Canis lupus familiaris: one gene and its partners. The protein of the gene in region 3 interacts with the protein of the main gene of each other region in a biochemical or structural test. Links are inferred from orthologs where the notes say so. Each region holds a gene or a part of one and is shown on either strand. Other genes may lie near its edges. The genes, in order: CYTH1, CYTH2, ARF6, HTR2A and ARFIP2.

The links.
Region 1: the proteins of ARF6 (region 3) and CYTH1 form a complex in vitro, tested with the Homo sapiens proteins (2 studies listed by BioGRID and IntAct, with this or other methods). The link is inferred for Canis lupus familiaris from reciprocal best matches to the Homo sapiens genes ARF6 and CYTH1.
Region 2: the proteins of ARF6 (region 3) and CYTH2 form a complex in vitro, tested with the Homo sapiens proteins (3 studies listed by BioGRID and IntAct, with this or other methods). The link is inferred for Canis lupus familiaris from reciprocal best matches to the Homo sapiens genes ARF6 and CYTH2.
Region 4: the proteins of ARF6 (region 3) and HTR2A form a complex in vitro, tested with the Homo sapiens proteins (2 studies listed by BioGRID). The link is inferred for Canis lupus familiaris from reciprocal best matches to the Homo sapiens genes ARF6 and HTR2A.
Region 5: the proteins of ARF6 (region 3) and ARFIP2 form a complex in vitro, tested with the Homo sapiens proteins (2 studies listed by BioGRID). The link is inferred for Canis lupus familiaris from reciprocal best matches to the Homo sapiens genes ARF6 and ARFIP2.

The regions. Positions count from the first base shown.
Region 1 is NC_049230.1:3,507,452-3,512,094, reverse strand, and holds the start of CYTH1 (cytohesin-1), read right to left. Parts: upstream 2,990-4,643; 5' UTR 2,858-2,989; coding exon 2,731-2,857; intron 1-2,730. UniProt on the Homo sapiens protein: Promotes guanine-nucleotide exchange on ARF1, ARF5 and ARF6. Promotes the activation of ARF factors through replacement of GDP with GTP.
Region 2 is NC_049222.1:108,468,282-108,471,625, reverse strand, and holds the end of CYTH2 (cytohesin-2), read left to right. Parts: intron 1-1,813; coding exon 1,814-1,892; intron 1,893-2,106; coding exon 2,107-2,178; intron 2,179-2,276; coding exon 2,277-2,431; intron 2,432-2,522; coding exon 2,523-2,610; 3' UTR 2,611-2,789; downstream 2,790-3,344. UniProt on the Homo sapiens protein: Acts as a guanine-nucleotide exchange factor (GEF). Promotes guanine-nucleotide exchange on ARF1, ARF3 and ARF6. Activates ARF factors through replacement of GDP with GTP.
Region 3 is NC_049229.1:26,667,763-26,672,527, reverse strand, and holds the start of ARF6 (ADP-ribosylation factor 6), read right to left. Parts: upstream 3,093-4,765; 5' UTR 2,931-3,092; exon of another isoform or gene 2,831-2,930; 5' UTR 2,345-2,830; coding exon 1,817-2,344; 3' UTR 1-1,816. Other genes in the region: uncharacterized protein LOC119876490, read left to right, coding at 3,129-3,740. UniProt on the Homo sapiens protein: GTP-binding protein involved in protein trafficking that regulates endocytic recycling and cytoskeleton remodeling. GTP-bound form plays an important role in the transport of multiple palmitoylated proteins form the Golgi to the plasma membrane.
Region 4 is NC_049243.1:4,415,399-4,419,993, reverse strand, and holds the start of HTR2A (5-hydroxytryptamine receptor 2A), read right to left. Parts: upstream 2,987-4,595; coding exon 2,575-2,986; intron 1-2,574. UniProt on the Homo sapiens protein: G-protein coupled receptor for 5-hydroxytryptamine (serotonin).
Region 5 is NC_049242.1:30,303,125-30,307,537, reverse strand, and holds the start of ARFIP2 (arfaptin-2), read left to right. Parts: upstream 1-1,209; 5' UTR 1,210-1,360; intron 1,361-2,118; 5' UTR 2,119-2,160; coding exon 2,161-2,259; intron 2,260-2,515; coding exon 2,516-2,612; intron 2,613-3,375; coding exon 3,376-3,494; intron 3,495-3,677; coding exon 3,678-3,899; intron 3,900-4,413. Other genes in the region: TIMM10B (mitochondrial import inner membrane translocase subunit Tim10 B), read right to left, coding at 434-610, 752-847, 1,023-1,067. UniProt on the Homo sapiens protein: Plays a role in constitutive metalloproteinase (MMP) secretion from the trans Golgi network. May have important functions during vesicle biogenesis at certain cargo subdomains, which could be predominantly utilized by secreted MMPs, such as MMP7 and MMP2.

The DNA of each region.
Region 1 (4,643 bases), on a different chromosome or scaffold from region 3:
AAGATACCTACACATCACCATAGTCCCAAGGAGACAGGGCACACTCAAAGGGGGAGTGTGGACAGTTACTGAGAGACTGTCCACAAAGGTAAGGGCGGAGTCCGGGGAGGCTCTCAAGCCTCAGTGAAGCACCCCAGGGTGATCAGGACTGAGCGCCCTACCCACCTGCGGTCTGCGGGAGGCGGCGGCCGGCTGCAGGGGCTACCGGACAGGCCCTGGGACAGGGCCCGGATAACCCTCAGCCACCATGCAGGGAGAAGACCCCCTGACCTCATTCTCCTCGGACTCTCCAGCCTCCTGGACAGATCCAGTGGAGGCCAGCAGGCAGGGCAGCCTCCACAACAGCAGGACGGAGAGGGCCGACGGCACAGGCGGGGGGCTGCACGCCAAGGCACGAGCTCCAGGAGCCACTCGGCAGGGTAAGGACGTCTGCGACGGCCCCATCCGCTGCCTCGAGGTCTCAGCTCCTCATCATAGCTCCAAGACCCTCCTGGATGCGACCCCACTGCCCCCCCAGGCTTTTCTTACCCCTTGTGTCTAGTGTTTCCTCTTTAACCAAAATAACGTGCACACATCACATAAAAAAACAAACAGTACCTATGGCTTAAAACAGCAACCCACAGTTTCCTGCCCAACTGCAGCCCCCACGCTCGCATCCTGCTCCGTGGAGGTAGGCTCCTTCAGCTCTCTGTTCTGCTGATTACCTCCCTGCTTCCACACATCACAAGCACACTACCTGCTCCCGAGTCCTCAATTCTGGGCAGCAACTGCCTGCCATGGAAGAGGAAGACTCAGCTCTGACCCCCACCCTCCCCGCCCTGACACACGCTCCGTACAATTACACGTGAGGTTTGGGTTAAATCAGTGTTTATTACTTCCATAAACACTGCTCACAGCTTAGCTACACAACGTACTAGGATTGAAATTACCACGCAGTGGCGTGAAGTGTCTCCTTTGTGTCTGTGTGCTTAGCTCTCTGCCTTACAGATGGAAAGCCAAGCTCTCTCCACCAGGTATGACGCTGTCAACAGGAGCAACCCAGTTCTGGGTCAGCCCTCCAAAAACCTCCACACTCCTCCCGGCCCGGCCTTGCTGCTTTCACAGCAGCACCCTGGCAATTCCCTCTGCCTCTTCCAAACGCCGCCTCCCGTTTCTCTCATTCCGTGCTTCCTTCCTGGATCCCTTCTTTTGCTAGAGCATATCCTCTAAGAAGGACACGAGGGATGGGTTTCCATCACTGCTGTGGATTTTGCATGTCCAGAAATACCCCTGTCCTCCTCCCACACTCGACTGGCACTCTGGCTGGATTCAGGGCTGTAAGTTAAAATCGCTTCCTCACGATGGCGAAGGCATTCCCTCACTGCCTTCTGCTCCCACAGTGCTGTTAGTGACCGTGCCATTCCAACCCCAGAATTTTCTATGGGACCATCTTCCTGCTCTGAAGGCTTTCAGGGTCTTCACCCTTGGCGCTGTGTGGTTTTGTAACACAGTGTCCAGGTGTGGGTCCGTTTGCACACACTGTGCTAGCCCCTAGGCAGACCCCAACTCTCAAGTCTCATAATCTTTGATGATGTCCTACCCTTTTTTCTCAGCTCTCACCGTTTAGAGTTTCTGTTAGACGCTGGACCTCCACTGTGAATCCTACTTTTCATCTCCTTGTGGAACCACTTTCTAGGAAGTATTCTTGCAAGGCACTCAATGTTAGCGTTTACCCCCGATCTGCGTGCTGAAACCCTAACGTGATGGCATTTGGGAGGCAATCAAGCCGTGAGGAAGGAGCACACATGTGTGGGATTGGCGGCCGTCCAGGAAGAGGCCAGTGAGGCCAACTGGCTCTCCTTGTACCTCATACCTTGAGAGCACACAGCAGGACGACAGGCTCCTGGGGGCCAGGAAGGGAGCTGGGAGCAAGAAGCACCGATGCCGGCCCTGCTCAGACTCCCCGTCTCACACCCGCAGCACTCACACCCGAGAGAGCGCTGCAGACACCACCCAGTGTGTGGTGCTGTCACGGCCTGCCCTGGGGCAGCTCTCTACTTCATCTTCCAGTCTCTGGATTGTTTTCTTTTGGCTGTTTTTAACTCGCATGAGCCCACTCTTAATCTCCGAATGTTCCTTTTGGATAGCATCCTATTCTTGTTTTATTAATACATCACATCTAAGACTCCTAGGTATGTGGCTTTTAAAATGCCCTGCTACAATCTGTTTCCTCAAACATCTTTTCAAACGCCGGCACATTGGCGAGGACAGGCACACACTAGCAGATGTGAAGATGTGGGCTGTCCCTCCACATCTAAGGGCCAGCACCAGCAGCCTGGTGAGAAGGCGTGTGGTGGGTGCGGCCTGTGGAGCGTTGGGTCTCCCTTAAAGCAGGAAAGCGGTAACACGCGGACCGCGAGGGGCTCCGTGGGTTCTCTCTCCCATCAGCCTGAAGAGCCATCCTCCAACCTCCTTCCTGGGCTGTGTGGGCTACAAACCTGGGCAGAGCAGCCGGGCCGCCAGGTGGAGGGAGAAAGGGTGGGACGGCCACACCGAAGGACACACACCTTTGCTCACTCTCCCTGTGCCGCCATAGCGCTCTCCAGAAATCAAACCTTTGTGTTCCACCAAAAGTGGAGGAGACATTGCCTTGCTGCAGGATGTGGGGAGGGGACCTGAGAGCCTTCATGCCTGCCATGAACACCTTCCACCCTCATCCAATCCCTACCCTCACCCCTTGTCTCCACTCACAGAGGCCCACGGAGCCCTGCAGCCTTTCTGGGATGTGAGGGTAAGTGGTTTTGCTTCCTGATGGACCCCTCCTCTGCAGCTGAGATCTTTCCTGATGAGCTGCCAGGGCGAGAGTGGCATGGGGCATAGAACCATGCGAGTGTCCTAAGACTCCCAGAAGAGCAGCTGTGCGCTGGGCTGGAGGGTGACAAAGACGTCAATCCTCTGCAGAAGAAAATCCACAGGCACCTGGCAGTACTGCAAACTCTTTGGGAAGTTACTTCTGCTTGGGTTACCTGAAAAATACAGATTTGTACTGTTTTTCCTCACAAACAGGAATGGATCTTGCCAAAAAATAAAAAATAATATAACTGAAAAATTTTTAAAAGGCTGAGGACAAAGAAAATACATATGTGTTACAAAAAATTCAAATGAGGGGGTCACCCGGGTGGCTCAGCAGTTGAGCATCTGCCTTGGGCTCAGGTCATGATCCCGGGCTCCTGGGATCGAGTCCTGCATCAGGCTCCCTGCTTGGCGGAGAGCCTGCTTCTCCCTCTCCCTCTGCTTCTCCCCCTGCTTGTTTTCTCTCCTATCAAATTAATAAATAAAATCTTACAAAAAAAAAAAAAAGGAAGAAGAAGAAGACAAACTGTACGGAAAGTAGTTGGCATAGTAGTTTTAGACGCCTTTTAAAATAAAGTAAAAAATACATGATGCAGTCAATGCCGTCTGTGCTGCCCTCTGCTGGCTACACGAGGAGGCTGTTTAAAGGTTTACAATTGGCCATTTTTGCCAGTAAATTCAATTACGTTTTGAACATATATGGGGAGAAAAGAGGGAAATTCATGATCTACACAGAGTGGGCCATGCTCTGCTGATACCTGCCAATACTTCTTTCTTATTTTCTGAGATGGTTTTCTTAATACTAGAACTGGTTTGACCTTTGTCCCTACACCGGCGCATCGTGGGAACTGGCACGGGGAGGACGAGGACGGTTAAGGATGCAGCGGCTGGAAGGCGGCGTGGCGGGGTTAGGGCAGCACCATGCAAAGCATCAGAGCAGGGGTCCCCGCCGGCACCACCAAGGAGACAGAATGAGCCCCAGTGACAAGCCACCCGGCATGAAGACTGGAGGCAGGCCGGTCCTTCCGCAGCTCTGGGACACGGAGGGCACTGGCTGTCCCCTCTGCAGTCCTCGCCGTGAACGCCGGTGAGAGGATTCAGTGCCCACGGCCGCTGCTCCGGGAAGAGACTGAACTCGGGGCCCCGGGTGGCCCCTCCCCGGGCCTCCTCACCCCGAAACCTGAGACAGCCCACCCGCCCCCCGTTTTCTAGCGACCGGTCACACACACCCCACTCAGATGTCTTAATAAAGGTAGTGCTGAGTACGCTGCCTTCATCCAAAAGGCTGGAGTCCTCCCTGGGTGTTCAACTCAAGCTAACGCCTGCTGAACGTGCTGCGGGCTGGGGCCCGGAGGTGAGGACACCTGCCTCCCTGGTCACACCACGGCCCCGGGGTCCCAAGGGGCGCTAGGAGTCACACGTACGTCACCATGTGGCAAGCGGAGGACTGGAGCACGGAGGGAGCGTGGGCAGTCCAAAGAAGTGGTGTGGCCTTCCAGAAAATCCTAGTGGCGTTCTCTGGCGCTTAGGCCTGGGGAGGGCCCACCACCACCCTGGGTCTCATCTTGAAGGACGCAGACACTGACCATCGGGTGAGGAGGCGCTCTCTGGGACAGGAAGGGCACTTTCAGATGGAGGCCCTTGGATGCCTGGTGCTGCCGGGCTCTCCCCCGACCGCGAGACGACCACGTCCAGAGGCCTGCCTGCCTGCGTCTCTGCACTGGCACAATGCTGGCCCCCAGACAAACCCTCCTCCACTGAACAGATCCTCAGTCTGGGTATTTCAACTCTTTTTTTTTTTTTATTTATTT
Region 2 (3,344 bases), on a different chromosome or scaffold from region 3:
GGGTGTCAAGCAGGTGCCCCTTTCCATGGGGTTACCTGAGGATTGGAGTTGTGCCCACTTGTGGCTTCATGGGAGATTCACCTGGGAACTCTTAAAAGCCCAGCGGCCAAGCCGCAGACTCAAAGCCAGGATTTCTGGGGCAGGATGGGTGCCAATCATGTTGAAAGCCCTCTAGCTGCCTTCCAGGGCAGAGCCAAGGTTGCGAGCAGCTGGCTGGGAGCCATGCCTGGGGATGGTGGGTACCAGGGGAGTGCTAGCTGTGGCTCTTTAGTGAAGAGGTAGCGGATGGCTGCTCCGGAGACACAGGGAAGCTGAGGAGGAATAACAGCCAGGAGCAGACAGTGGAGGCTGCTGGAGCAGCGGGAGGGCCCAGTGCAGGGATTGGAGGGGCGGGGCAGGCAGGGCTGTGTTCCCTGCACCGTGGAATTTTGCTCTTGAGCCAAGACCTGGCTTCCCCAGCAGCAAGCAGGGCCCTGACTGGGTGCATAGATGTCCTGGTAAAAGTGTAAACTGCTCTTTCTAGCCCACAGCGAGTGGCCAGATTCCTGCATCAGCCCCAGGGGTGGGGGCCAGATGAGTCCAGAGTCAGATTTCTCTGGAGGCCAGGAGGTGCCCCTAGCCAAGAGGGTGGGAAAGAGGAACTCTGGCAGGGCAGCTTCCCAGGAGCTAATTCCCCTGTAGACCTTTCCCACCCACAGGAATGCTTCCCATTTCCCAGATGAGGACTTTAAGGCTTGGTCACTGTCCAGCAGCTACAGGGCAGGGGTGGCTTGGGGCCCAGATCTCTGACCAGAGTGTAGCACATGTTGAACTGGATCAAAGGAGGGGGGGGGGCTGTGTTCACCAAGATGCTTAATGAAAGCCGTTCTTAACTGTTACTGTCTAGTCCCTTGGGGACCACAAGGAACCTAGAGGCAGGTCGTCTTGAGGTGGGAAGGTATGGGTGCAAGTGGGTCTGGAGACTGGAGCCCAGAGAGGGCAAGAGGTGGCCCTGAGGTCACACAGCCAGTTTGTCCTGGAGCTCACATGGGTCCCCACAGCCACCTCAGGCCAAGCACCGGGGGTTTTGTCCTCTTCCCTTTGGGATGACCTTCTGGGGGTGAGATCTCTTCCCTCTGGCAGTGGAGGGCCTTCCCAGCCGGCTGAGGACCTGTCCCGGGGGTGGGGAGGCACCAAGCAGCGACACCAGGAGGTGTTGGGGGGGCTCAGGATCTTCAGCCTCCCCAGGAGGGAGAGGGTCATGTCGATGTAACTCGTTTTCTTCCTTCTCTTCCCCCCTCCCCTTCCCTCTCTCCTTCCCTGCGTCTTCCTCTCTGCCCTCTCTCTTTCCCACCCCCCTGTGCTTTCTTTCCCTGGCCCGCCCTCTTTCTGTTGCCTGCGGCTTTGGGGGGCACCCCATTCTCTGCCTTCCCCTCTCCTCGCCTGGTCCTGCCTGCTTTCTCGCTGTCTGCCCCAGGAGGTAGGTACGCTGCCGACCTGACCTGACACCGACCTGACACGGGAGGGGCTGCCAGGGGCTGCCATGGCCCTGGGCCATAGGAGGGGGCTGGGCACTCGGGACTCGGACTCCCAGGCTCTGGGCAGACAGGCAGGCTTAGAAAGTGCGGAGCCCCACGTTGGGGGTGGGCGGGATCCTGGGGGGGGGGGGCCTGAAGGCCTGTCCCTGCTTGTCTCTCTTCCCCCGCATTTCTTCATCCCAGGCCCTGCCAGCCCCGCCTTCCCTGCGCTCACTCTGCCTCTCAGTCCCCTCCCTGCCTCCCGGAGGCCCTGTCCCCCCTGTTGAGCCCAGGCCCCCTCCCACCCCTTCCCTTTCAGGGGGCCGGGTGAAGACGTGGAAGCGGCGCTGGTTTATCCTCACTGACAACTGCCTCTACTATTTCGAGTACACTACGGTGAGGGCAGAGCTGGGCTTCTCTCTGGGGTGCTGGGAGGAGGGGCTGGGGGTCAGGCTCTGGGGTCTGAGGGAGGAGGGCTATACCAGTCCACTAGCGCTGCTGTGACAAAGTACCACAACCAGTGACTTGAACCACAGGCACTGCTGGGGTTGGGGAGGAGGAGCTGAGCAAGGACTGGAAAGTCTGAGTCTTGTCCACCTTGTTCCTTCAGGACAAGGAACCCCGAGGAATTATCCCCCTGGAGAATCTGAGCATCCGAGAAGTGGATGACCCCCGAAAACCGGTAAGACCCTCTCTGTGCCCCTTCCTGCCATGGTGGCACCTCCTCTGGGCCCAGGGCCAGCTCTGACCTGCCATCGCTCTGTTCTCATGTCTCCCCAGAATTGCTTTGAGCTTTATATCCCCAACAACAAGGGGCAGCTCATCAAAGCCTGTAAAACAGAGGCCGACGGCCGGGTGGTTGAAGGGAACCACATGGTGTACCGGATCTCGGCCCCGACACAGGAGGAGAAGGAGGAGTGGATCAAGTCGATCCAGTGAGCCTGGGCTCCGGGGTCCTTGGGTGGGAGCAGAGGGCGTGGGGAGCTGGGCTCCTTGGCCCTCACCCTGGACCCTCCCCTTCTGCAGGGCAGCTGTGAGTGTGGACCCCTTCTATGAGATGCTGGCGGCAAGGAAGAAACGGATTTCTGTCAAGAAGAAGCAGGAGCAGCCCTGACCCCCGCCCCCAACCCCATTATTTATTACGGAGCTGCCCCACCCGGGTGGCCGGACCCCTGGGCCCTGGGGCTGCGGATCCTGGTTCTCTGTTTGGAAAATTCACCACCTCTAGCTCCTCTCTCGTTATTTGTAATTAACACACTGTTGGTAATCTTATTAATTATTTAACCACTCGCAGCCTTGGACCCCTCCTTTCTTGGGGTCGGCAGGGCTGAGGGGCTTGGGCTAGCCAGCCAGGTGGCCCATGCATGCCAGGGGCCAGGAGCTCCAGTCTTTGCTGGGAGCTCTTATGGTACGTGAGGAACATGCTGTCAGAGGGTGCAGCCACGGGGGCGGGGAGCGGGTCAGCTCCCATATCTGTCCCTTCTGGTTTTACCCTGAGCTTGCAGGCCAGGGTAAGGGAGGGAGGAGTATAATGTGGCATCAGTGGGTGTGGAGTTAGGATGGCGTGGCATTGAGCATGCAGGTGGGCACAGGTTCTGGGATGAGGCCCAGCATTTGTAAGTTCTGGATTTTACTTGACAACCAGGAGCTGCACAGGTGCTGGTGCTCCCCACTGCTCTCACCTGGCTTGCGTCTTGGAGGGCGGCAGGTAGTATCTGAGGGGTTATGAGTGAGGCCAGTGCTTGGAAGGGGAGTAGAGAGCTGTACGAGCTGTAGGGCGACCTACTGTGGGACCACAGGGGATGGATGAGCCCGGAAAAGAGGAGGCAGGCCTTGCCGACTAGCTGT
Region 3 (4,765 bases):
TTAACTTTTTATACCTTATGCTTCTCATACATCTTTGGTAAAAGCTCCATTATACAATATGGCCAAAGCACGAAGGACCAATACTGTCCAACTATGTACCATGATATCCCGCTCCATTTTAGTTTTCAGACACCCTCCTGAACAAAACCCACTCCACCTTTTCCTGTATACTGCCTTTGCAGTCTACATTTCTTAAATTCCCTACGTTTAATTCCTTGAGGATCTCTAAAATTAATCCTTAAGGCTATATGAGAACCAGATGCTGCTCACAATTCTGTATCAAGCATTAACATTTGGTTCAAGGTATCATCATAGTGGTCTCGATAAGCTAGTTACGGGTCCTAACAAGCTAAGCAAGTAATCTTGCTAGGATCTGGATATCACCAGTGAGCACACTGCTTACCCTTGAAGAAAAATAAGTTTACATTCATTGTCATCTGTAGGTTCTTTCTTCATCCTACTTCCCCTTTAATTGTCATTTCTCAAGTCTACACATCATTCATTCATCACATTTCCTTCCTTAAAGGAGATAGTGTATTAATGAACCAACAGGAGATCTATTTGTATGAGTTAATCCTACAATCAAACAGAATTAAATACCTTTTTTATAAAACATCTTTTCCAGTGTTCTAATTAATGGAGATGTGGATCACTCAATTATAAAAAAACTTCTATCTTCAGCTTAATCAGTTGCTCTAATGTGAAAACAGGAATGTGTATTCTTTCAACTAGGTAGAAAATGTGTATAATTTGAATTGTTAAACGCTTTTATTAATGAACAAAGTAAACATTCTAGTAACTTTTAAAGTATTGGTCTTAGACATTTGAAATGTGGTAAAAGTATATATTCCAGTTTTGCCCCAATGTCACTGAAAATATCTACAGATATCTCATCTGTGTGTGGCCTACACCATTATTGCTCCATTTTCTGGAAAGAGTCTACTTTTAAAGTTAAAAAAGAGGGAAACACAGCAAAGTTGCTAACTTTTGCAGTGAAAAAAAATCTGTTGACGGGTTACACTTTCATCTTTTTATGCAGTGTAAGTTAGCTATGTAATAAGGAACTTGCGTTTTAGCCCTACTCATGCATGATGTATGTTTCAGAACTTAATAGCTGACATTTCAAAGAACTTCTTACATTACCTGTTTAACATACTGATGTGCAACTGGAACATATTACAATGATATTACTCATTATTTGCCACTGTAGGCTAAGTTTACTATACTGGTCTTAGATATAAAAGGTCACATTTGAAATTACTAAGTTAAAGGTAAAACTCATAAGGGAGGAGTAAAGGCCTTAAATATAAAAGACAAACGGCAGTTTGATTAAGCAATAATTTTCAGTTTACTAGATGAAACAGACTTGCAACATAGTCTGCATGAATGCAAAATAAGCCATCTACAGCAAGTGATAAGGAAACTGGGCAAAAAGGAAAAAAGCATACATTGCAAAAAAGATTCTCTCGAAATAAAAAAATCAAACCATTATTATAAAGGACTTTACCAAAAACTGCTATATTTCCCCCATCCCATTTGCTGGAAGTCAGTAAGAGCATCTAGCACTTTGTGGTCATGTCAAATGTCAGATCGGAGCATCCTAATGCAAAGCAAAAAAAAAGGGGGGGGGGGGGGAGAAAGAGAAACAAAAAAGGAAACCCCTAAACCCCCCCCCCCTCCCCAACCGTAGAACAGTAACTCCAGAGTTCAAATTCAAAAGAAGAGAAAGTGGCAATTGAAAGAGGTGATGGTGGCGATAATCCTATGAATGGGTTTCTGATTTCTCTCCTTCCGGGGGATAGGTGGAGAATGCTCATTAGGATTTGTAGTTAGAGGTTAACCATGTGAGCCCCTCATAGAGTCCATCCCCTGAGGTGGCACAGGAGGGCTGCACATACCAGTTCCTGTCCCGAATCCGGGTCAGGCCCAGTTTCTCCTGGATCTCGTGGGGTTTCATGGCATCAGGCAGGTCCTGTTTGTTGGCGAAGATGAGGATTATGGCGTCCCTCATCTCCCGGTCATTGATAATGCGGTGCAGCTCCTGGCGGGCCTCGTCGATGCGGTCGCGGTCGGCGCAGTCCACTACGAAGATCAGACCCTGGGTCCCGGTGTAGTAATGCCGCCAGAGCGGCCGGATCTTGTCCTGGCCGCCCACATCCCATACGTTGAACTTGACGTTTTTGTAAGTCACGGTCTCCACGTTGAAACCCACTGTGGGAATGGTGGTCACCGACTGGCCCAGCTTCAACTTGTACAGGATTGTTGTCTTGCCGGCCGCGTCCAGGCCCAACATGAGGATCCGCATTTCCTTGTTCCCGAAGATCTTGGATAGCACCTTCCCCATCGCGTCGGAGGAGCCGGGGCCGGGGGCATTCAGGTGTCCCGGGTCCCCTCAGCCAACTACGCCGCAGCCGCCGCGAAACCGAAACGAAGCCTCCCGGCCGCGAGGGCGCCCGTGCGGCCTGCGTGGGAGTTGCCTCCTCGGGGCAGAGGCCCAGGCTCGCCACTCACTCGGGCATCACCGACCGCACAACTTGATTCCTCCAGCCGCCGCCGCCGCCGGGGCCCTGAGTCTGCGCCGGGAGAGCCGCCGCCCTGCTGAGGCGCGGCCCGGCCCGGAACTGCCCTTCCCCCCGCAAGCGCCGCGCTAGCGCCGCCGCGGTTCCCGCTCCTCCGCCTTCTCTTCACTCGGCCGCGGGAGGTCGAAGCCCTCCGGCCCACCCGCCGGTCCACGAGCACCGGGCTCACCACCGACCCAGGCCACCCGAGAGTCAGCGCGGCTCCGGCGCCTCGTCAGGTCATTGATCCTCGCCGGGATCCGGTGCGCCGCCTGCAGAGACACAGAGAGGAAGAAGGGAGTTACTGCCGGCAGGCCAGAAGGGAGCGGAGGCCCAGGTGACTCGTCCTTCCAGCTCAGTTCGCGAGGTTACCTCAAGCCGCCGCCCTGAGCGCGGGCTCCCTCTGGCCTCCACCGCCTCCTCCCAGCTCTGCCGCTGCCGCCGCCGCCGCCGCCGGAAAAGGCGCCGAAGAAACCGCCTCACTTCCCCTCCCGATCACGCAGGCGCAGCAAGGCCGACCGTTCGGTGAGAGCGAGCTCTGTAAGGAGCGCGGCCCGCGCGCCCAGCGTCATGGGCGCCACGCGCGAGGGGGCGGGGCTACGGCGGCCTGGAGGCCTCGCGGCTGCGGTCAGGCCCCAGACCCGCGAAACTCGGACTCTGACCCGTGCCCGCCTGGCGCTGTACGCGGACTTTCTGCGTCCCTGTGGCGCGCTCTCGCCTCCCCCAGCCCTCTCGAACCAGAGCAGGCAAATCCACTGGGGAGCTCCCGAGGGCGGGGCCCGCGGCCAGCCCTCTCCCGCGGTGAAAGCCTCCCCCAGGCTGCTTCCGGACGTCGGTGCCCGCCAGGTGCTCAGCGAGTTCCCTTGGGCCCGCCCCAGCCTCCGCGCGTCCTCAGTCACCCGGGAAAGCCCTATATGCTGTTTGTACGTCTCCCAGCCCGTCCTTGGCCTCCCTCATCCCGCGTGTTCTGTGCATTTCCTGAAAGACACGTGGGAGGCCCGCGTTTGGTGTGGAGTCGGCCAAGCAGTGCGGCGCTTCTACCAGGCTTGGGTTTGCCAGGAAACCCCGCTTTTCGGTGTTCGAGCCCTGTCTTACACATCTCTTCGGGACCAGACCCTGTTACTTAAAAATGACAGTGTTAACCAGAGTTCCAGTCCCTTGCTGCGTTTTCAACTTTTTAAGGTGATAACTTTTCATACTTAAGTTAGTGTGTTGAGCAGTAACTTAACCACCTAGCTTTTCTTTAAGAATCCTAGACGAGGGGATCCCTGGGCGGCCCAGCGCTTTAGCGCCTGCCTTCAGCCCAGGGCGTGACCCTGGAGACCCGGGATCGAGTCCCGCATTGCGCTCCCTGCGTGGAGCCTGCTTCTCCCTCTGCCTGGGTCTCTGCCTCTCTCTCTCTCTCTCTCTCTCTTTCTCTCTCTCTCGAACGAACAAATAAATAAAGTATTTTTTTAAAAATCCCAGACAATAATAATCTTAGCACTAGGGTTTAGAGTCAGAAAGCCTGACTACTTTTGTGACCTGGATCTAAGGCATTTAACCTTGCTAAGTTTGTTATCTCATGTGTAAACCGAGTGTAGTGCCGACCTTGCTCTGTGTACTCCGTTTCAGAGTAAATAACAAAATGTTTGTGGAAGACTTTCGGAAACTTTTTTGTAGCAAATAGTTAGAGATCAAGTTAGACTTAAAGTAAGGCGAAGCCTAAAATAAAGGAACCAAGGGGAGGAAAAACAGGAAATAGGGTTTGTTATTTTTTAAGGAAGATGCTATAGAAGCATATGATAACATACTTGTTTCATAATATAAGAATATTTGATAATGGTAGATGGGTCAGGTGATAACCTTATAAGCTTCAGCTGAAATAAACTTACTGGAGTTGTTAATATTCTGACTGATCCAAGTTTACTTTCCATCTGCCTTGATCCATCTTACTTTCCACTGTCATAAAACTGAAGGAAGGATTTTGGAGTGAGAAGATTAGGGTTCAAAGTGTTGCCTGTCCGTTTTATGGCTGTGAATCCTTAGGCCTCAACCTTCCTAATCTTCATTTTCTTTATCTGTAAAATCAGACGAAGGATAATATCACTCATAAAAAAAATAGTCACCATTTGTTGTTTGTAATGGCAAACACTGTACTAAATATTTTAAATCTATTTTTAATCCTCACAGCAATCATATGAAGTAATTTTGAGCATTAACATTTT
Region 4 (4,595 bases), on a different chromosome or scaffold from region 3:
GGAGGGCGGGGGGGTGGGGGTGACTGGGTGGCGGGCACTTAGGGGGATACTTGATGGGATGGGCACTGGGTGTTATTCTGTATGTTGGCAAATTGAACACCAATAAAAAAATAAATGTATTATTAAAAGAAAAAAAATAAAAATAAAATAAAAAATAAAATAAAATAAAATAAAAATAAAAATAAAATAAAAAATAAAGTAAAAGTAAAATAAAACAAAAATAAAAAATAATAAATAAATAAATAAATAAAATAAAATAAAAAATAAAATAAAGTAAAAGTAAAATAAAATAAAAAATAAAAATAAAATAAAAAATAAAATAAAGTAAAAGTAAAATAAAATAAAAATAAAATAAAAGTAAAATAAAATAAAAAATAAAATAAATGAAATAAAATAAAAAATAAAGTAAAAGTAAAATAAAATAAATAAAAATAAAATAAAATAAATAAAATAAAAAATAAAATAAAATAAAGTAAAAGTAAAAAAAATAAAGTAAAAGTAAAATAAAAATAAAATAAAAAATAAAATAAAATACGAATAAAATAAAGTAAAAAAATGAAGTAAAATGAAATAATAAAATAAAATAAAATAATAAAATAGAATAGAATAGAATAAAATAAAATGGTGCTGCTGCCCCCCCCCCCCCCCCGGAGGTTGTGATTCTGGACTGTGCAGTGGGGCAGGAGAGAGTCATTTCTAACACGTTTGCGGGTGGGGCTGCTGGCCCGGGGGTAACACTCTGGAATCAGCGGGAGCGCTTTTCCTCCGGTGCTCAGGAGGGGGGCAGAGCTGGGCCCCAAGTATTCCAAAGCTCCCCGAGGATGCCAATACGCGAAGCACCACAGGAGGCGGGTGCACGATGCATATGCTACGTGCCCTGTCGTTGATGTAGAGGGGCACCAAGGGGTCCCACAAACCCAAAGTGTTTTGGTGGCCGCGCCAGCGAGCATGCTGCACCGAGCACCTGACACAGGGCAGGTCACAGAGCGTCGCCGTTTCTTTACACAAGCCCAGGCCCACGAGGCTGGACGACCCCTGCGTTTGCAGACCCATCTCCCGAGTGCCCCCAGCTAGGCTTAGGCTTGCATCCTGCACGCTGTCCTAGCTTAAGGCCCTTCTCTCTGATTATATTTGCACACCCACCCACACGCACAAACCTGAGCTGAAACGAGAGCCTCGCCGCCCTCGGTGAGCTCGCAGCGGAGGTCGGCCCTGGGGCTCAGGTCTGCGGGAGTCGGGCTGGGGTGGGTGGGGGGCGGTCCCGGGAGGGGGCGCGGCTCCCGCTGCCACTCGCCGCTTGCCGAGCGCCCGCCGCCAGGGGGCGCCGTTGCACCCCGAGCGGGCCTCGCCGCCTCTGCTCCTCACCTGCCCCGGGGTCGCGCCCCCCCGCCCCCCGCGGCCCGGCCCCCCATCCCCCCTGCAGCGGTCTAGGTGCCCTTCCGGGGCCCCTGGGAGCCAGGCCCCACTCCCGGGCTTTGCCTTGGACGCGGCGGTGAGGTCTAGGAGGCGTGTCTGGGAACCACAGGCGAATTTGATGAAATCATTCTGGGGTGAAGGCTGAGCAGTGCAGCAGGGAGGGGGGGCTGGCCTTGCCTGGAGCGCTTTCCACCCCGTGCACCCGGCACCTGCTCCCCGTTGCCCCTCTCCTTCCCCCCTGCACCCCCCTCCTCCTCTCCGCTCGCTCGGGTGATGCATACACCTGTGTATTCTGAGCCCCCCAAGACCCAGCTCTTACAAAGCATTTCTAGCTCCGGGTGACGGCTACGGGCCTGTGTCAGCAGCCTAAATATATTTTTTCCCCTCCCTAAATGTTCTTTTTGAAAGAAATCAGGCTGTATTGCTCATAACTGGAAAAGAGCATGGCATTCTGCTCCCTGCTGAGGGGTCTGACTGTCCCCGGGCTGGTGGAGAGCGCAGGACTCATCAGTGCCTTCCTCACCGGTTTCCACCCTCCTCCCAGACACACTGCGGGGAGTTGATGGGAGATGGTTATTCTCCACGAGTTGAGGGGGTCATTCAAAGGCAAACTTCCAAATTAGCTACTGGGGGGTGAGGGGGGACAGCAGAAGCCGGAATAATTCATTCACTCTAAGGCAGAGGGTGCATATCTTAGCATTAAACCCAACTGTGTCCCACTAGTGTTCCCAGGGACCTGGGAAGGTCTTACCTACTCCTTTAGAAGTGCTGAAAACTGTGTGTGACAAAGACACAACCACAACAACAACCACCTGTTCTGTCCTGAAGGCTGGAAGATCTGGGCATACACAGAGGCGGAAAGCAAGTGGCTTCAGGATGACAGATAAATTACTGCCGGACGACTCTGTCGGGGGCACTTAAAGTGACTACGTTACAGTGTCCTTGTCCCAAAGCACAACACTCTCCGGTGATAATAGGTTGTCTGAGCTTTTCGAACGTGCAAGCTCACTTTGAGATTGGAGTAGTGTGACAGGGGAGCCCCTGGTCTATAAATAAACCCTGGTGGTCAGCTGGGCCCCTGGGCCCGGCTCATCTGCTCGGAGCATGCACATGCTGCGTGTACCCGGCGGGTACAGCTGGGAGGCTGCTGCCACTCACCATATAGGATGGTTAGCATGGACACGGGCATGACAAGGAAACCCAGCAGCATATCAGCTATGGCAAGTGACATCAGGAAATAGTTGGTGGCGTTCTGCAGCTTTTTCTCTAGGGACACTGCCATGATGACGAGTATGTTTCCAGCAATGGTCAGAATAATCACGACCGCTGTCAACAGAGCCGACCAGTTTTTTTCCTGGAGATGAAGTAGGGAGAAGCATGGTGGCGAGAGACAGCCCTCGCAGGAAAGGTTGGTTCGGTTTTCTGCATCCACTGTCCAGTTAAATGCATCCGAAGTGTTCGCGTCTCCAGCGTTCAGGTCGTTGCCGTAGAGCCTTGGGTCCCCGTTTGACGGCATTAAGGAGCTGGTGGTTGGGCTCAAAGGAGCATTATCCTCAAAGAGGACATCCATGTCTCAGCCGGAATCCGTAGCACACGAAGTCCAGAGAAAGTAACAAGTTAGAGCCTCGGCTGGCCATGCATCTCCCCGTCCCCTGTCTCTGTCACACGGAAGCGGGCGCACCTGCTGGGCTCCTGCGGTCGCCTCCTTTCTCCCATTGTCCCCCCCGGGAGCTGAACTGCAGGGACTCTTTGGATCTCCTTCCTTCACAACGTTAGTGGAGTCTTGTTGGGTCTCACTTCTTTCCTTTTTTTTTTTTTTTTTTTTCCTTCAAAGCAAGGTCAAAAAAAGCAGACTGAACTTTTTAACACAGACGTTGCAGAGTTTCGAGCGTTCAGGGAGAAAGAACGCTGGGATCCCGGCCGGAAAAGAAAAGTTTTGTGGTTCCAGGCGTCCCATGGGCTCTGCCTCGGTCTGCCGGTGACGCTGGCCCCACTGGTTGGGCCTCCGCAGTCCGGGCACGGCTGCGCTCCCGGGCGGGGGGGGGCGGGGGGCGGGGGCACCACCGGCTCCGGGACCCGCAGGTCCGGACACCCCGGGTCGCGGCAGGTGCTCGGGGCCGCCGTCCCCGCCTCGGGGCTCACCCGCCGCGGCCGCCGTCGGGAGCTGCGGCTCGCACCGTGCCCGGTGCGCAGGAGGAGAGCAGCAGTCGCGAGCAAACAGGGGCAGACAACTTCCCACGCGGGGAAATCCTCCTTGACATTGGGAACGTCTTGGCCGCGCGCCGTCTCGAGCCGGAGAGCAAGCAGGTGCGCTCGGAGATGCGACGCGGCGGGGCGCTTAGGGCCGTCCCCGGGGGCCGCACCTGAGCCCGGCTCCGCCGTCCCGCGGCTCGCGGCAGCTGCCCTGCTCCTGAGGCCGCCGCGCGGGCCCTGCTCCGCCCGCGTCACGCAGCATAATGGGGCGGTAATTGGATTTCTGTTTTGCTGACTTCAAAAACTGCAGGCGCGAGTGGAGCCGCTTGCAGCCCTGCGCGGTCTGGGCGTGCGGGCTCCCGCCCCCACCCCCGCCCCCGCCCCCGCCCGTGGGCTCGGCCCGGAGATCCCCACCTCCCCTCCCCGCCCCTGGGCTCGGCCGGGTCACCACTCACTGCCCGCCTTCCCGTGGGCTCAGCCCGTGGCCTCCCTCCCCCGCTGGGTTCAACCCAGTGACCCCCCCAGGGCTCAGACGGGCGCCCCCCTCCGCCCCCCCCAGGGCTCAGCCCGGCGCCCCCTCCACTCCCGTGGGCTCAGCCCCGTGACCCCACCCCCCGGGCTCAGTTGGGCGCCCCCTCCCCCCTCCCCCCCCCCGGGCTCAGCCGGGTGACCACTCCCCCCTCCCCCCCAGGGCTCAGCCCGGCGACCCCTCTCCGCCCCCCCCAGTGGGCTCAGCCGGGCGCCCCCTCCTCCCCTCCCGTGGGCTCAGCCCCGTGACCCCCGCCCCCCCGGGCTCAGTTGGGCGCCCCCTCCCCCCCAGGGCTTAGCCGGGTGACCACTCCCCCCTCCCGGCCTGAGGGCTCGGCCCGGCGACCCCCCCCCCCCCGCCCACATGAGCTCAGCCCCGCGACCACTCCCCCCTACCTCCCCTCCCGTGGGCCCAACCCGGTACCCTCCCCCCAGGGCTCAGCCCGGCGACCCCCCTC
Region 5 (4,413 bases), on a different chromosome or scaffold from region 3:
GGGATCAAGTCCGGCATCGGGCTCCCCACAGGGAGCCTCTGCTTCTCCCTCTGCCTATGTCTCTGCCGCTCTCTGTGTGTCTCGTGAATAAATAAACTCTTTACAAAAGAAAAAATTGTACCCACAGGCCTTGTTTTAACCAGGTGCCAGGAAATGTTGAGGTTTTCCTTCTACACATAGAAGCCAATTTCTCCACTGCCAGGGCTGAAGCCAACAGATATGCGCTGACAGGATAAAGGATGGGGCCAATAAAGCGGGCAAAGCTTCCGTGCCCAGAACATAAATCAAACAGTGCAAAAGTGGGTTTATTGGCTCCAAGAAAAGGAGCAATACTACCCAGCTGTCAGACAACCCCTCACTCTATATATGGGCTGCATCCAGCCCAAGGTCCACTGGCTCCTTCAGTTTGAGGGTCCATCCAGCGCCTCCCTTCCTAGCTGCCTGATGGTGAGGTTCCGGGCTGTTCTGCAGCAACACCTGGCCCAGCTGAGGCAGCCTCGTAGTCTGCGATGCGGCGCTGTACCAGAGCCGGCATGAGCTGCACGTAAGCGGCCATGAGGCGGTGGTTGGAATGGATCAGCTTCCCAGCACAGCTGTGCAGACAGGCCTCCTGGAAGGAAGACAGGGTGAAGCATTGGTGTCCACTGGTGTCCGTCCCATCCCTGGCCCAGGGGCAAGGGTCATGGAAAGGCCCGGGCCAGAGGTAGGGGCGGTGGAGGTTGGGGACAGTCTACGGCGAACCCCACCTAACCTCTTCAGCGTCCAGAGCTCGGTGGTGCAAGCTGGGCACGCAGCGCTGGAAGCAGAGTTCCGTCATCCGATTGTAGACCAACAGGAAGTCCCGCAACTAGGAGAGAAGGGGACAAAGAGCCCAGCGATAAGGGGGCACCTCGAGGCCGCGCCCTCGAGGTTTCCCAGGACGGCGCGCCAGAGCGCGACGTTCCCAACCCTCCGCCCTCCAGCCAAACGGACGAAGATGCCAGCTGAACTGATGGCCCCGTCGCGACTTAGCACCCACTCACGTTCCTCAGCTGCTGCTGCTGCTGCTGCTGCTGCTGCGGCTCCATCGCGCCACCGGCGCACGCACGTCACTTCCGCACAGCCTCTTGGTAACGCCCCGGAAGTGACCTCTCCTGGCTCCCCGGGGACTGAGGGGTTGCCTCAAGGATCGCCCCGCCCCTGGCTTTAACGTCATCTCCGCCCTTATAGTCTGCGACGTGGCCGGCTTCTTCTGCCCGGGAGGGGACGTCACTTCCGCCGAGTCCCTGACCTGCTGCTAGGATCGCGACGGGAACTGGAGCCCGAGGTCCCCGCGCGGCCCGGGCCTGGCGCCCTGAGGGGAAGAGCGGCCCGGCCCGAGGTGAGAAGGACATACTTGGGCAAGGGGAAGTTGAATGCACGAGCCTGCCCCGAGGGAAAGATGCTACAGAGCCCTGGGGAAGGATGAGGACACACCTGATGCCCAGGTGTGGGGTGGGGGGGGGGCGGGGACTAACACACCTGGGGGACATAACTGACTTTGGAAGGGATCACTATGTGCTGGGAAAATGTGGCTTTTCCCAGAGGCCAAGAACGGACACCAACTGATTCAACTAGGGCCTGCAGGGGGAGGGCTGCAGGAGGAGGGGGTGCATGGGATGGAGGAGGGAGAGACCACCTGAAGGAAAGGGGAAGCAACCCTAAGGGAGTGTGAGAGGCCAAGCAATGGAGAACATACCAGAGCGGGAGGAGTAGGCTCCTGAGCCCTGGAAAGGGGTTAATCTGATGGGAGGAAACAGCTGCATGGGGGTAAGTTCCAAAACAGCACAGACTTTCTCTCCCTTGGCCACTGCTGTGACCTCAAATAGTAGTCTGTTGAATGGTTGAACGCATGAGTGATCACCTGAGTCCTGGTGGGGTTGGGGGTCCGTGAGAAGATACTGGGGACCTGGGTGTGCATGTGGAAAGATACACACCCTGGAGGGGAGAAATACATATCTACGAGAAGAAAGGAGTGGTGGCCGAACCCCAGGATACTCAAGTCTTGGGACAACCTCTAAAATCTCTGAAATGGTGGGGGAGACTTTTCTTTCGGGAGTACTGGCTAGTTTCCAGAACTGTCTGTGTTGGGCTTTGCAGGGCGCTGGGGTGGAGACTTTGACTCCAATCCCTTCCCTAGCCATGACGGACGGGATCCTAGGGAAGGCAGCCACAATGGAGATCCCCATCCACGGGAACGGTGAAGCCGGGCAGCTTCCTGAGGATGATGGGCTGGAGCAGGTGCTTCTGTTTGATTCTTCTCCATATTGTTTCAATTTAGGAGTCCAAAATCATAAGCCCTGGGCTCTCACCCCATTCCAGGAGTTTTCCCCTAACTTATCTAACTCCCTCCAATCTTTACATATCTTCATTCTGATTCTATGCAGACTTCCCTTGTGTGCTCTCTCTGTGATGCTTCAATCCAAGCTTGTTCTCACCCCCCAAATGCTTCAGCTGCCCCAATGTTCCTGAAGCCCCCCTCTTCTCTGGCCTATAGGACCTCCAGCAGGTGATGGTGTCAGGACCCAACCTCAATGAAACCAGCATTGTGTCTGGTGGCTATGGGGGCTCTGGTGATGGACTCATCCCCACAGGTATGAATGATCAGAACAGGACAGGAAGCTTGAATGGACAGAGGGAGTGGAATGGTTCTGGGGAGTATAGGATATGCCTAAGATAGCTTGAACTATGTCTGGAGATTTTGGGAACTCTTGCTAGTACAAGCCCAATGGACTCTACTCAGCCCAAGGCTAGAGCCTAGGGCTGTCCAACTGCTCCCGCTTGCCATTTAGCCCTGAGATGTGTCCATTTGTCCTTTCTTTGCTGCCACCACCTGAATCACATTACGAACTGTTTTGCAGAAGTTCTCCTGCTTTGGAGCTTGAGACTTATTTGGAACTCTGAAGCTTCTCAAAGTTTTGCTTCAGATTCTCAAGTTTAGAGAAGCAAATAGCCCTGAATTTCACACTGACTAGGATTCCACATGAGAACGTCAATGAGATTTCCTATTGTCAGGAACCCACCATCCTTGACCTGCCACCCAATACTCAGCATATTTTCTTCTGTTTTCTCTGCCCCTGTACATCAGCAACTCCCTCCCTCCCCCCACTCCAGCCCCCATCACCATCTCAGGAGGAGGCCAGATATATATTGGGATTTGGGTTTCAGGGCACAAGGTATGAGTTCTTCCTAGTGAGTAGGAGAATTTCTAGTTTCTGCTACTTCAGAGAAGTCATTTTCATGGTGGGAAGTCGGTGGAAAGTCATTTCATAGTGGGGTCGGTGGGAAGTATGGGTGGAGCCACAGAGATGTCTGGTTATATCAGAGAGGCTGGTGTCAAAGAACTTGGTTCTTTAGGGTCTGGCCGCCATCCATCTCACAGTACCACTCCTGCTGGCCCGGGAGATGAGGTGGCTCGGGGCATCGCTGGAGAAAAGTTTGACATCGTCAAGAAATGGGGCATCAACACATATAAGGTGGGATTTAAGCACCTTTCCCTTTCCCCTTCCCCAGACTTCCCCTGGGTACCTTTTCCCCATCTTCCAGATTCCACTCTCCCATCCTTGTCTGAGACGAGGAGCCTTGGGATGCTAGGGTAGATACCTGTTGGGGGGGCAGGGTGCTAGGGTCTCTGACCTATTCCCCCACTTCCCAATCAGTGCACAAAGCAGCTGTTATCAGAGCGATTTGGCCGAGGCTCCCGGACTGTGGACCTGGAGCTAGAGCTGCAGATTGAGTTGCTGCGTGAGACGAAGCGCAAGTATGAGAGTGTCCTGCAGCTGGGCCGGGCACTGACAGCCCACCTCTACAGCCTGCTGCAGACCCAGCATGCACTAGGTGACGCCTTTGCTGACCTCAGCCAGAAGTCCCCAGAGCTTCAGGTGCCTTGGTCAGGCCAAAGAGGGTGGGGGGACTGGGCCCGGGCCCTCCCAGGCAGTCAGCCCTCAGCCTCCCTCCCTCCCTCCTGCAGCCCAGAGGGAGAACCCCTCCAGGGTAGGCCCAGCCCTACCCCCAGCAGCACTCACCTGTGGAGGCAGCCTAAGGGTTTGTACAGAGGTTCAGAAGTTGGAGGGGTGGGGGAGGCGGCACACTAGATGCCTCACAAGTAACCCTTCTCTGCATCGGTGCTCGGCCTAATCAGAGCCCCCCTCCCCGCCCCTTGCCTGCTGCACTAGCTTTCCCTGTTCTCGTCCTGTGAACTTATCTGAGAACCCACTCCCATACTCCTACCCCAGCCATCCCCGGGGTGGCCCCAATAACTTTCTGGCTAAGAGAGCCTTGCTGGAGCAGTCCTTGGTTGTTCCAGTTTTGATGGCTCTTTCCTTCTGGGGGAGGAGGGGAATGAGGGCCCTATAGCTTTAGTTAGGTAGGAATTGTTGCTCAAGGCCTATCCTC